Linked DNA regions of Oryzias latipes. The protein of the gene in region 2 interacts with the protein of the main gene of each other region in a pairwise test. Links are inferred from orthologs where the notes say so. Each region holds a gene or a part of one and is shown on either strand. Other genes may lie near its edges.

What was found.
Region 1: the proteins of ybx1 (region 2) and c1qbp interact in binary tests that used the Homo sapiens proteins (3 or more experiments, as listed by UniProt). The link is inferred for Oryzias latipes from reciprocal best matches to the Homo sapiens genes YBX1 and C1QBP.

What each region holds. Positions count from the first base shown.
Region 1 is NC_019872.2:21,254,672-21,260,840, forward strand, and holds c1qbp (complement component 1 Q subcomponent-binding protein, mitochondrial), read left to right. Parts: upstream 1-2,739; 5' UTR 2,740-2,870; coding exon 2,871-3,123; intron 3,124-4,027; coding exon 4,028-4,178; intron 4,179-4,258; coding exon 4,259-4,352; intron 4,353-4,430; coding exon 4,431-4,526; intron 4,527-4,607; coding exon 4,608-4,733; intron 4,734-4,811; coding exon 4,812-4,961; 3' UTR 4,962-5,208; downstream 5,209-6,169.
Region 2 is NC_019865.2:7,797,651-7,803,852, reverse strand, and holds the start of ybx1 (nuclease-sensitive element-binding protein 1), read right to left. Parts: upstream 4,151-6,202; 5' UTR 4,015-4,150; coding exon 3,903-4,014; intron 2,361-3,902; coding exon 2,297-2,360; intron 2,071-2,296; coding exon 2,037-2,070; intron 1,948-2,036; coding exon 1,858-1,947; intron 1,789-1,857; coding exon 1,507-1,788; intron 1,176-1,506; coding exon 1,078-1,175; intron 824-1,077; coding exon 583-823; 3' UTR 537-582; intron 172-536; 3' UTR 1-171. UniProt on the Homo sapiens protein: DNA- and RNA-binding protein involved in various processes, such as translational repression, RNA stabilization, mRNA splicing, DNA repair and transcription regulation.

The DNA.
Region 1 (6,169 bases), on a different chromosome or scaffold from region 2:
TGTAAGCAAAAACAAAACCACTTTGATATGATCTGATACGATCCATACCTTATAAAAAAGGATATTCCAACGTTATTTATTCTTTTGACATTTAAACATCCCAATACTAACATAAATTTGGATTTTCTGTCAATTCTGTGATGTAGAAAAATGTGTTTTCTTCTTGCCCTCAGAGTTTTTTGAGTCTTCTTTTTCATCTGACATTTCGTCACTAAAATTAAGGGGCAATTACATGATTTCCTGTTTGAGGCTCATTTATAAATTAAAAAAACTAAACCAATCCAGGTCCGTTCACCCGGTACCCACTTGGTGGGCATTTACAAATAGAAAATGGTTCTTAATTACCCCACATAAAAAATTGTCAAAATTTACAACCAAAACATATGCAGTTTAAATCCAAACCTTTATTTATTCTTTTTAATATTAAATTGTAAATTGTATTGTATTAAATTTTAAGTATAGAAGCACTGCAAAGTACTCCTGTAAATAAGGAAACAAAAATTAGTAAATGCATCTGCTAATTATTAATTAGTACAGTGTGTGTGTGTGTAGGTGTGCGCTTAAGCGTGTGCATGTATTAGTGTGTTTGTGGGTACGTGTGCATGTGTGTGTGTGTGTGCATATTAGTATGTTTGTATGTTAGTGTGTGTGTTACATCTACGAGTTGTATGGAGAGTCAGTCAGCCATCACATGATGAACTCCTAAATGACCTCTACAACAACAGCGGAGGTTTGGGAGCGGCAGGCTGAGCGCTTTCCCTGTTCTACTGGAGGACTGGAGCCTGAACCTTCGGCAGACAGACGGAGGAGGAGGAGTCAGAAAATGCTTCACCTGCTTCTTTACCTTTACCACAGCTGCAGCAAGTGTAGACGTGTGTAAATCAAAGGAATACTTCTACAAACATCTGGAATGCTCACATCTGGCTCAGGAGCAGCAGCACTCGGACGCAGGTCCTCTTTCTGGAGGCTCGTCATCACTTCCTGAGCTGCTGTCCTGCTGCTCCCGTCGTCTCTGGAACAACAATGGTCGCAAAGATCTGATCTCAGAGAAACACCACAGACTGCTCACAGTCGAAATATTTGGATCAGTGGACTTTGAGACAAATTATTGAATTTTTGATCTGTTGAATCAGAAATGAGTCAGCTTGATGACAGTTTTGTCTCACAACTGCCATCAAAGAAAGAAACACTGGCACAGTTGACGGACATATCGGACACTTCAGTCAGGCATTCTCATTACATGACCCTTCACTCTAATTGTTAAAATAAAGCACCCTAAACTCACTTATTAGCGTGTGACATGCACACTGCAGACAAACTGCAGAGAAACAAATGGCTGCGAGGTCATCTGCCGGCAGAACATTGAACTAGAGAAGGTCAAACATCAGAGCTGCTCCCATTCAAGACACAGATACGCAACTTGATTTGCATTAACCTTTGCTGTGAAATGAGACAATAATCTTTCTTTTTTAACCTCCAGCCATTAAAGCTAAGCTTGTCTTACTGACAAATCCTTATGATATAATATGAACTAACTTACAGTGGTATCAAGTCAATAACATGGAAATTATGGGAGTTTTTTTAGTAACATTTTGCATCATTTCTGGCCTTTTTTCAACAGCAGAATTTCCATCCACATAAGAATGCAAACTTATCTACAGCCACTACCTTTAAAAAGGTTTAGTAAAGATAGATACATAAAAGCTCTTGGTCTATATTTACATGTATGTATATATGTAAAATTCAAATAATTAAATTATATGTGAAATAGTCAAGATAATTACAACATTTATCAGGAATTCATGGTAACATTATCTGTGCTAAATTCACAGAAGCTACTGTGTTCATAAAGAAAAGTTAAAAAAAGAAACTTAAAAAAAAACACCACTAAACTCACCCTTTAGGTCTGAATAATTTCCTTCAAAAATGTGGGGACATAAATCTCTCAAGTTGCTTTTGTGCTTTTGTACTGTCTTTAGGGAAGTCTGACAACAAAGAGACTTTTTTTTTCAAACTGATTCCTTAAAAAAAAAAAAAAAAAGTGCGGTCACAGTCGCAACCGATAGTTTGTAAATTAGCAGATTCAGTCCAAACCGTTACAGAATTTCCTAACTTAGAAAACAGTAGTTTCCATGGTGAACACATTTTTTTATAGAATAGAAAATAATCTTTTTACATATATTTATATATATATATTTAGCAAATTTTCGTGGCTTTGATAAAGGGGTTTAAAAAGCATATAAATTTATCTTAAAAAATGAATTGGCTGTATAGTGGGCGTTGAATGGTTTAAAAACATGTCAGACAGCACCATCTGATGGCAGCAAGACTACAATTTCAATATATATTGTCGCAAAGGATGATGCAATGTTTCTACATGACGGGCCTCTACCGGTTGAGATTGTATTGATATTTCTTATTTAATCAAATTTTATTTCACTTGTATGTGCTGTCGAGTTTATTATAAATAAATAAAGAACTCCCGCCACTAAAGAAGGCAGACAATCTCTAATAAAACATTCACATCGAAGACACAGGGGGGCGCCACTGAAAATGCACTACGTTTTTTAAAAGTGCATCATATTTTTTCAGCTATTTTTTAAAAATGTTTTTCCATTTAATTTTACCATCCTATTTTACCATCATATATAATCAGTTAGTGTTTAGTGTTTAGTAAAGTAAAGTCAACTATTTGATATAAAACTAATGTTTACTGAACTAAGTACTACTTCCGGTTCAGGGGTCATAGTTACGCTAGGTCAATGTGCCCTTCCACACGTGTTGCCGGTGTCTTCTAGAAGCGTTCCTGGTAGTACGTCGGTGCCTGCGTGTTCTTATTTTTCTCTCTTCTTTAAACAGTTTATAGTATCATGCTAAAGTCTCTGGTCCGCGCGGTGGGAGCTGCTGTTCGGCTGTCCTCGGCACCATCCGCTGCTGCACGGGCTCTGCCGCTCAGCTGTCCGACCAACCGCTCTCCTGGTTCGGTTGCATCTCGGCCCTTCACCCGCTCCCTGTGGATGTTGAACAGTAACGGAGCCCCGTCGGGATACAGACCTAAACTGTTCAGCTCAAAAGTACTAAGTCCGTCTGTGTCGTGTGGATGTGGAGGGCTGCACACGGAAGGTAGCTGAACGTCCGCATGTTTTTGTTTCATTTATCTAAAAAAAAAAGAGAACCTGTAAACACAAGTTTGGGTTATTTAAAGCAGCAAAACAGCTTAAGTTGCTTACAAAATTGAAAGACACGTGGCGGTTAATTGGGGTTTTAGACGACACGGCGAGCGTGCTGCATCCTGGTTTAGGAGCTAAAGAGCTGACATCACTTTGGCAGGCAAAGCTTTAGATGATAAACAATCAACTGATGTTTTAACTTGTCGCTTAGCAACAGTACTGCTAATTTCCAGACTTCACAAACTATTTGAATTTTACAGTGACCCGATTTTCCTCATTAAAAGTGCTTGTTTTTATTTCTTTTTTTTTTTTCTTTACTCCTTCCACTCGGCAGAAATTGCTCCTGGAAAACGACACAGGTTTTATAAAGATTTGGCTAAAAACGTCAAAATTATTATTTTTAAAAAAACCCCACTGTGAACGCTTTTACAATCGAGCGGGAGGTGATTGGAGTGGAGCTTTTAACATTTTAAACTAATCACAAGTGAAGAGTCCCTTTATATTTACATCTGTATTTACTCAGTCAGCATTTGTTTTTTTGAATATTCCGCTGGTGTGTTATCCATCAACACTTAAAGATTCTACACGATGTAGGTATTTTGTATGTAATTGTGTAACAATTGTTTCAGATAATGCATTTTATCAAGTTTTTTCACCTCTAACTTGTCACATGTTTAAACATAAAACATTAAGGTTCACTGATAAGTTTTTCCAAATCCCCTCTGCCGAAGCCAATAGTTTACTCATATAAAGTTATGTTGTCATCCCATCCTGTGTGAAATGTGGATTCATGTTTTTTATCAAGTTGTCCATTCTACATCACACAGTTTCACCTAAATCTGTTGTCTTTTTCTCAGGAGACAAAGCGTTTGGTAACTTCCTGTCCGATGAAATCAAAGAGGAAAAGAAGATCCAGAAAAACAAAACCCTTCCTAAGATGTCTGGAGGATGGGAGCTTGAGATGAACGGCACAGAGGCCAAACTCACAAGACACCTTTCTGGTGAAAAGTAAGGCGATGGCTCACTCTCTGAGGACAAAGTGACCGTGTAGGAGTTCCTGCAAAGCAGCTTTTATTTTCTGTCTTCAGAGTGACGGTCACATTCAACGTTAACAACAGCATCCCTCCAAGCTTTGAGGAGGAGGAGGAAGCGCAGCAGCAGCAGAAACCAGCAGAGGAAGAGGTGAAGCTTTCGAATTACCTTCTAGATTTGTGATCTTATCATTTATTTATGCTCACTAGTTGTTGTTTTCCTTTGTAGCCAGAGATTGTATCTACGCCAAACTTTGTTGTTGAAGTAACAAAACAGAATGGGAAGCACACGCTCGTGTTTGACTGTCATTTCCCTGAGGATGAGGTATGAATTAAAACGAAGAAAGAAAGAAAAACTTCTGGATGAAGTGGTTAGGTAAAAAGGTGCCGACTTTATCCAATGTAGATGAGTCATGGTGAGGGGGAGGAGGAGAGCGACATCTTTGCCATCCGGGAGGTCAGCTTTCAGCCAGAGGGAGACTCTGAGTGGAAGGAGACCAGCTACACCCTCAACACAGACTCCCTGGACTGGGTAAGAGCTGCTGTGAACCATGAGCACACGGGGGGTCATGAAGGTGGGATGTTCTCAACTCTGCTGGGTTCTTTTTAGGCGCTGTACGATCATTTGATGGACTTCCTGGCCGACCGCGGCATTGATAACACCTTCACAGACGAGCTCATGGAGCTCAGCACTGCCATAGAGCACCAAGAGTACATCAAGTTCCTGGAAGATCTCCAAAGCTTTGTCAAATGTAACTAATATTTAACTTAACTGTCTGTTCTCCAGATGAAATTTCAAAGGACTAAAGCACTCAAGACTCATGTTTGGCACCCGGCAACAAGAATGTTGCTTGTTTTTCTGTAACTTCAATAGAAATATTTGTCAGCCATAGTGATCATTTAGTTTCTCAGCCTCTATTTTACATCTCATGTCCCCTTTAAATGTGTAAACGTTCAATCAAGACCTGTTCTAAAGCTAATAAAGAGAATTGTCAGTTTTCATTCGAGAATTTGTCACATTCTGAGGTTTTACTTTAGGAAGTTTTTATGTTTATTGAGGAACATTGACATTTTGTTGGTGGCTTAAAAACAAAATAAATACACACAAATTCCACACAGAACCAATTCAAGGTTTTAGATCATAATCATCACCTTACATTTTTCTCAATACAGTAAAACTTGAACAAGTTCAGATGCTTCAAAACTGAAATTATTTGAAAGATTCTTTATAATTTAGAAATGAATAGAACTGTTTAAAGGAAACAAATGGAAAAACAATATTAAACTGTTTATGTGCAATAGAGGTTGATCAAACCTTAAGCTCCTCCTAAGAAGCAACCCCGCCCCCCTTCCTCCCAGCTATTTCCCACGCTACAAATAAGCTCTTTTTCATCTGCTCTTGATTCACAATAAATTAAAAAAGAATCACTCAGAAATGCAATTTTGAGCTTAAGCTTCCTAATGTATGTCCTCCATCAGAGAAATACCACAAGAACATGATAAAAATGGCAAAATGTTTGCATTGGACTGGATCTGAAAAAGCAGACACATTCTGTGCTTGATGTTTGTAATAAAGGCAACACAAAAACACAAGGTTAAACAAGGTTTACAGGTTTCATTTGTGTGAAGGACACCAAAAGGTAAGATCAATACTTGAAAGTGTTGCTATGCCACGAGAGACGGATAAAGTTTATACAAATAGCTCACCAGCCTCTCAAGAAAATAACATTAAATAAAGCAATGGTAACCATGGAAGTGTGTTTGCGTATTAAATTAGGTAAAGCAAAAGTTTCAGTAATCCATAATAGCTATGTGTGTACTCATGTGTGCAACATTTAACACCAACAAAATATTTTAAAAACTGGTTTGAGTCATGGTAAGCACTTTTACTTTACAGTGAGAAGGCCCTGGTTCAAATCCCAGCTGGGTTCTTTCTGTGTGGAGTTTTTCTGTGTGGGTTTTCTTGGG
Region 2 (6,202 bases):
TGTAGCTGTCACATAAAAATAATGGAGAACAAAAAAAAAACAAACCCAAGTCTGCATAGATTCTGCAGGCAATCGTTGGTAATCTGGTCAAAATGGTGCAAGCTTGTGACGATCTTAAAGTCAAATCGTTATTGCTCAGATCTTATTTGATGTTTCTTCGTGTCAAAAAAACTGAAAAGAGAAGAAAAGAAAATTAAGTTCACTGTCCATAAACGATCTGCACATTCAACATTAAACTTGATATGATATGGCACATATTAAAAGTGTTATCACTATACTGAAGGAAAGTGCAATTAAAACTGCTTCTCAGCAAATAGAAACAGTCTCTGTTAATCTACAGCATATGTTCACATTTTAAAAGATTTAATGCATATGCTTTTCAACCGTTGATACATAATTATTTGAAGAAGTTTTCTGTTTTAGAGGACCTAGTGTCATTTTCCTCATGTTTCTGCAACTGCAAAAAATCAGGACAGCAATTTTTTACTTAAAGCAGACTTGCAGAATATATTGAGCAGTCCTGGGGGTGCACTCACCCGGACGATGGTAAAAGATGGTAGTTGCCGGTGGGCATGTTGCTTCCTACTCAGCCCCACCCTGCTGGGCCTCGGGAGCGGACGTTTTTTCTGCAGATGGTTCACCTCCTGCCTTGGCATCCTTGCTTTCCTGGCCTGGTTTACCACCAGTCTGTTGGCGTCTGCGACGGTAGTTGAAGTTGCGGCGGTAGCGCCGCTGACGGGGCTGTTGATTCTGACCACCTTCACCTCCCTGATTCTCCTTGTCCTCCTCACCATCCCGCACCGGTCTGGGACGGGGTGGACCCCTAAAAAGGAGGAGAGGAAAACCAAAATTTGAGCAAGGACATTGATATCTAGGAGGAACAAAAATACTTTACTGGGACCGGGAATGATTCTGAATTTACAGAGAAAGAAAATATATAAACAAATCCCAGCGAGTTGATACAGGTCTGGATTGAAAAGAACTGACTGAAAACTGACTTTGGTTTTTCCAACTTAAATGTTGGTTTGATACTGAAAGCTTTTCTCCATCATTCAAGGACAAAGCCAATGTGCAAACCTGGGTGTGAACCTTGGTCTGAAGCCTCTGTAGTAGTTCTGCCTCACTGGTTTGTTGCCCTGGTCTGGACCTCCCTGGTTTTCATCGCCTTCAACTCCCTAAAACAGAGCAAATCAAGCAAAAAAGCTTTCTCAAACAAACAGATTATTCAGTATAGCACAGAAATATTGAAGCAACACGAACACTTTTTTAAGAAGAGACGGCCAATTTAAGTCCATCGGACAATAGCGTGACCCCCGATACACCAAACTTTGACCACAACCACGTGAGCTTTACCAAGGAGCATGTTGGGAGAAGAGCAAGTGTCTCGACTGTCATGGTACAACTGGTTGCCTACTTCTGGATAGCAGCCTGGTGACCGCGTACCACAGTCATTTCTCCGCGTGGTGCATTGGTGTACGGGGGTCCACGACCATAATGTCTACGTACAAAGTATGGTGGGTAGCGTCGTCTGCTGGGGTAAGTGGGTCTGCGCTGCTGTGGCTGCGATTCTCCCTCAGGGGCGCTTTCTCCCCCGTCTCTGTTTCCTTTGTCACGCACTCCGTTGCCAGGCTCGCCTTCTCCATCACTTGGGTAGTTCTCTGGGTATTCTCCTCCACGAGGGGGCCCCCTTCTGCGTGGGTAACGCCTGTAGCGGTTCCTGTCAGCAGCGTATTTGCTTCCCTGGACAGCCACCCCTCCAGGGCCAGTGACATTTGCTGCCTCTGCACCCTGTTAACAGATAAGTTTAAAATTGACAACATGCCTGCAAACATAACCAAATTCTTCCCAAAACATTACCTTCTCTCCCTCAACTACATCAAACTCCACAGTCTCTCCGTCCCCAACACTGCGAAGATACTTCCTTGGGTTGTTCTTCTTTATGGCTGTCTGAAATCATCAACAATTGAAAAGTGAATTAGTCGAAATAAAAAAAAAATGTTTTAAGTTTCCAAAAGGTTTGGAAAATAATAGGTCACCTGGTGTACAAAAACATCCTCTTTTGTGTCATTCCTGAACAAAAAGAGAAAAAAATAAAAAGATTCAGTTATACCACACATGACTTACTAAGACAACACACCTCTGAAGACAGATTGCAACTAAGCCAACAAGTGCAAGGATTAATGAAGTCTTGCAGGTTACAGTGTGCATGCAGACCACTAGAAAAAATAATCAGGTCAGCCACGTTAGCAAAGCAATAATCATAATAGGATTGGGAACGCTGGAGGTGGTCATTTACCTATTGATGAAACCATATCCATTCCTGACGTTGAACCACTTGACTGTACCCAAGACTTTTGTTGCTGCAATGAAAAACAGAGCAACTCAGTTATCAAGTGTCAATATTACTTCTCTAAGCTGCAAAGGTAATTTTAGAATAGCAGTAATGAAATTTTGAAAATATGATAATAGATTGGGAACAGTCAAAGCATCGCACATAATAAGATATGTGCAGGAAAAAACTAGCCATAGTGTGGACGTTAAAAATAACTTCCAACTGTCGTGCTTATTATAGATGCTGATGCTTAGGAGAGCCTGGCGCCAGCTGCTCCCGGTGTGAAGCTCCGGCCATGGTAGAAAACAGTCCAATTACATTGACTGCAAATGTGTGGAAGGAATGCGGATAACACGGGGAACAGAGCTTACGACACGTCAAACTTCAAAACAAGTAACCTCGCGTTTAGCAACTGCATTTAGAGAACTCGGACATTAAAGACCTACTGCCCCATTTTAAGACGCCCAGTTCACGACGTGAGCGTTCACACGTGGTAGGGTCGCACACGGACAGACCGAAAAACAAGCCGAGTTGGCTTCTTAGCTTAGCCGTGTAGCTAAGAGTTACAACCATGTGGTTGGAGTATAGCCAAAAAGCGGAAACCAACGTAATAAACCCATCAACATCTTACAGATGTTACTTCGAAACTACTTAAGCAAGCGCTTTTAGTACCTAAACCGAGCTAGAATAGAACTGTAACGTATAAACGGATCGTGTAACGGCGGACATTTTGGGTGGCCTTTTCAGCCATGTAAATAGCCAGCCAGCTAGCTGGCTAGGCTAACATTAGCATCGTTAGCAACTGGAAAGCTATCGTGAAATAATTAGGCCTCACCGAAAATGTAAAAAAAAAATCGAGTTAAAGCTTAGGACGGTTTGAATACAAATCCCAAAGCGTTTATTATTGAATATATCTAATAGTTACAAAATAAACTTGAAAACAACCACCTTTAAGCTTTGACAGAGAATACAGGGATTCGACACTTGTGCGAACAAAGGGATAGTAAGCAGCTAGCGTCAGTTGCCGGTGAACTTGTTAGTGTGAACTAACGCAGGGTATTTCCAAGTTTAAAACATTTATTCGTCATTTTTTCGGGTTTTGTTCGTACTTTTGGCGGTTAACGGTGAGAGATAAAGGTCTGCAACGTCTGGTAGTAAACATGCTGGATCTGACATAAATTACTCCTACGATCATCCATGTGACGGCCGTTTGGATGCATGCGTCTCTTTTTCGCAAATGTTTTCCCACCAAGACAGAAAATCATGGATTAAGTGGTTATTTACTACATTTCTAAGATGTGGATTTTTCCTAAACTTGTGACATCTCATAGTTAATGAGAATGATACGCTATTAATGAATAACCGTTCCCAACTGACAGTTTTTAAAATGTATAATTATATTGACAGTTGGTATCACAATTCGACGTACGGTTTAACGTCCAACTACTTAATAAAGTTGATCGTAACGGTCATTTTACATTAACATAATTCAACGGCTGTTTCTGTCTCGTTTACAGCAACATAAACCACGTTTAGCATCTAGTTAGCTAAGTGGAGTCGGCAGTCTTACCGATGACCTTCTTATCCCCCGCGGAAGCTGCAGCTGCCGGGCTGGATGGGCTTTCCGCATCATCGGCAGCAGGCTGCGGTGGTTGTTGTTGTGTCTCGGCCTCGCTGCTCATAGTTACTGGTTGGTAATGGCTTCTGCCGGCGGCGGCTCTCTGCTATTTTTCCCGGTGCTAGATGGTAACGTGGGCCGGCGGTGGTGGGGGCTACTGCCTTCGGGCTCTCAGCTTTCCTCTTTCCGCTCCCGTTGCCGATCGAACTGGGCAGAATCAGTAGTTGTGTTGGGGAATGTTCTTGGTTGTGGCCCCGCCCATTCGAGCTTTTCACTGGCTGGAATTATTGACTGAATGCGTCACAGAAAAAAGGCGTCCTCTGATTGGCTAGACTACTGTCAGTCTAGTTGAAGCGACGCGTTTTCACGAACGGTTGGTTAAAGGTACCGTACCTGTCAGTTTTCACCGCCCCATTGTAATCATGTGTCAGATGCATAAAACTAAAAAAAAAGACGCATAAAGCTAGTGTTGATCCACGTAAACCCCTTTTAAAACCGTAGTTAAACAACATTTTTATGGCATTATTAGGAAATATTAGCCTACTTTTAAATATTGCTGGAGGCTAACAATTTATGTAAAATTTCAAAAAGTTTGACTCCCACAAAAGAATCAGAATATATTGTAAATTTAAAAAAACATCCACAATATTGCTTTTTTATTTTTACTTTTAAAATGAATGGTTGTTACCTGTAAATAGTGATGATTAAACATCAAAAACCAAACTTGATAACCAAAATACAAAAGATCCAATCTGCAAATTTTTAGATTTGACTTTTTGCAAAGAGAATTAGATTTTGTGAGGTGAACATTTGTGAGGACCAACCATTCAACCTGCATTCTTTGAACCCTTATAACATTAAATGCACATGAACTGTTTAAGGGAAATGCTTATTGCATATTAATTGTATTTTCTACACATAGAACAAAAGAAGAGCTTAATAAATCTTTAACAAAATGACAGTGAATTTCACATGTGAAAACCATGCACCATTCTTTCCTAGTTAGCTTGGCATAGTTGGGATGTCTTGTCTTGTAGTCCCTCTTGATATTGAATTTCTTGAAAACATCCAGCCTCTTGCATGTTTAGTATCTTACTGAAAAAAATACACAAATTTCTACTTGTCCTGAAAGCAGCGACCCCCAATTGTCAACATTTGTTAAATTTACAGTCGACATTTTAGAAATGAGCTAAAAGGTATTGCAAAAGGGTCACATCATAGTGTTGCCATAGGTTTAAAATGGTTTATAAAGTAGGCAATCATAATCAAGAAATCATACACAGTTTCCTGGGAGCACATTTATTTTTATAAAAGGTACCAGCAGGCTAGAAGAGGCTTTCAGGAGGGCTGCATTTGGCCAGACTTTGTAGAGATCTAGAAAGAAACCTTTGACAGGTTTCTGAACCCACCTTGGACCGGCCAGACTTTGGACATGCCTGCCTTAAATGGTGAGAACAAGAATAACTCCATATTTAAAGTGAACTTTCAAGACAATCCTGCCCTTTTTTGAGAAATATTAAATAGAAATATAGAAAATATTCCAGCACTGACTGGAATATTTGAAACAATCTCCGTGTTTCTTGAAAAAAAGAGATTTTTTTCAGATCGGACGTTTTGTATGTAGGGTGTGTATTCCTTTCACATATTTTTTTAGTTGTTATAACCTGGTATTGTACTGCTTCACTGCATGTGACCCATCACCTGGGGGAGCAATGAGCTGCACACACGGCCACCATTGATTGCTGAACCCCCCAATCCAACCTCTTAATGCTGAGTGTCAAATGTTGTGTCCCTTTTTTGGAGACTTTGTTATGATTTGAACTCTTGACTTCTGTCTCAGGACAGACACTCTTCCACAAGGCCACCGAGTTAAGCAAAGTTGACATACTAAAAATGTAGATTTTCTATTATTATTCCCATCTGCTATATGTGCCATGGAACTTACTATTAACATGTTTTAATTAAATTTCAATAGCAATTAGTTGCTAGCAGGCTCCTAGAAGTTAGAAGCTGGAAAAAGTATGGTGCACTGGGATTCTGTCCTCGATTCTCATCTACTTCTCCTCTCCTCTATTTTTGATTATATATTTATCATCTAGTTCTCCATGCCTCTGTTTGGTGCAGTGTGATTAATGTGTTGTCCCTCTTTCCCATTTCAGATTCCAGTTGGCCCGTCTTTGCTCCTGTCCTTGGACCTCGCCTCTGGCTCGTTTCGCGCTCCCAGCCGTCCCCCAGTACCATCTGGATGAAGC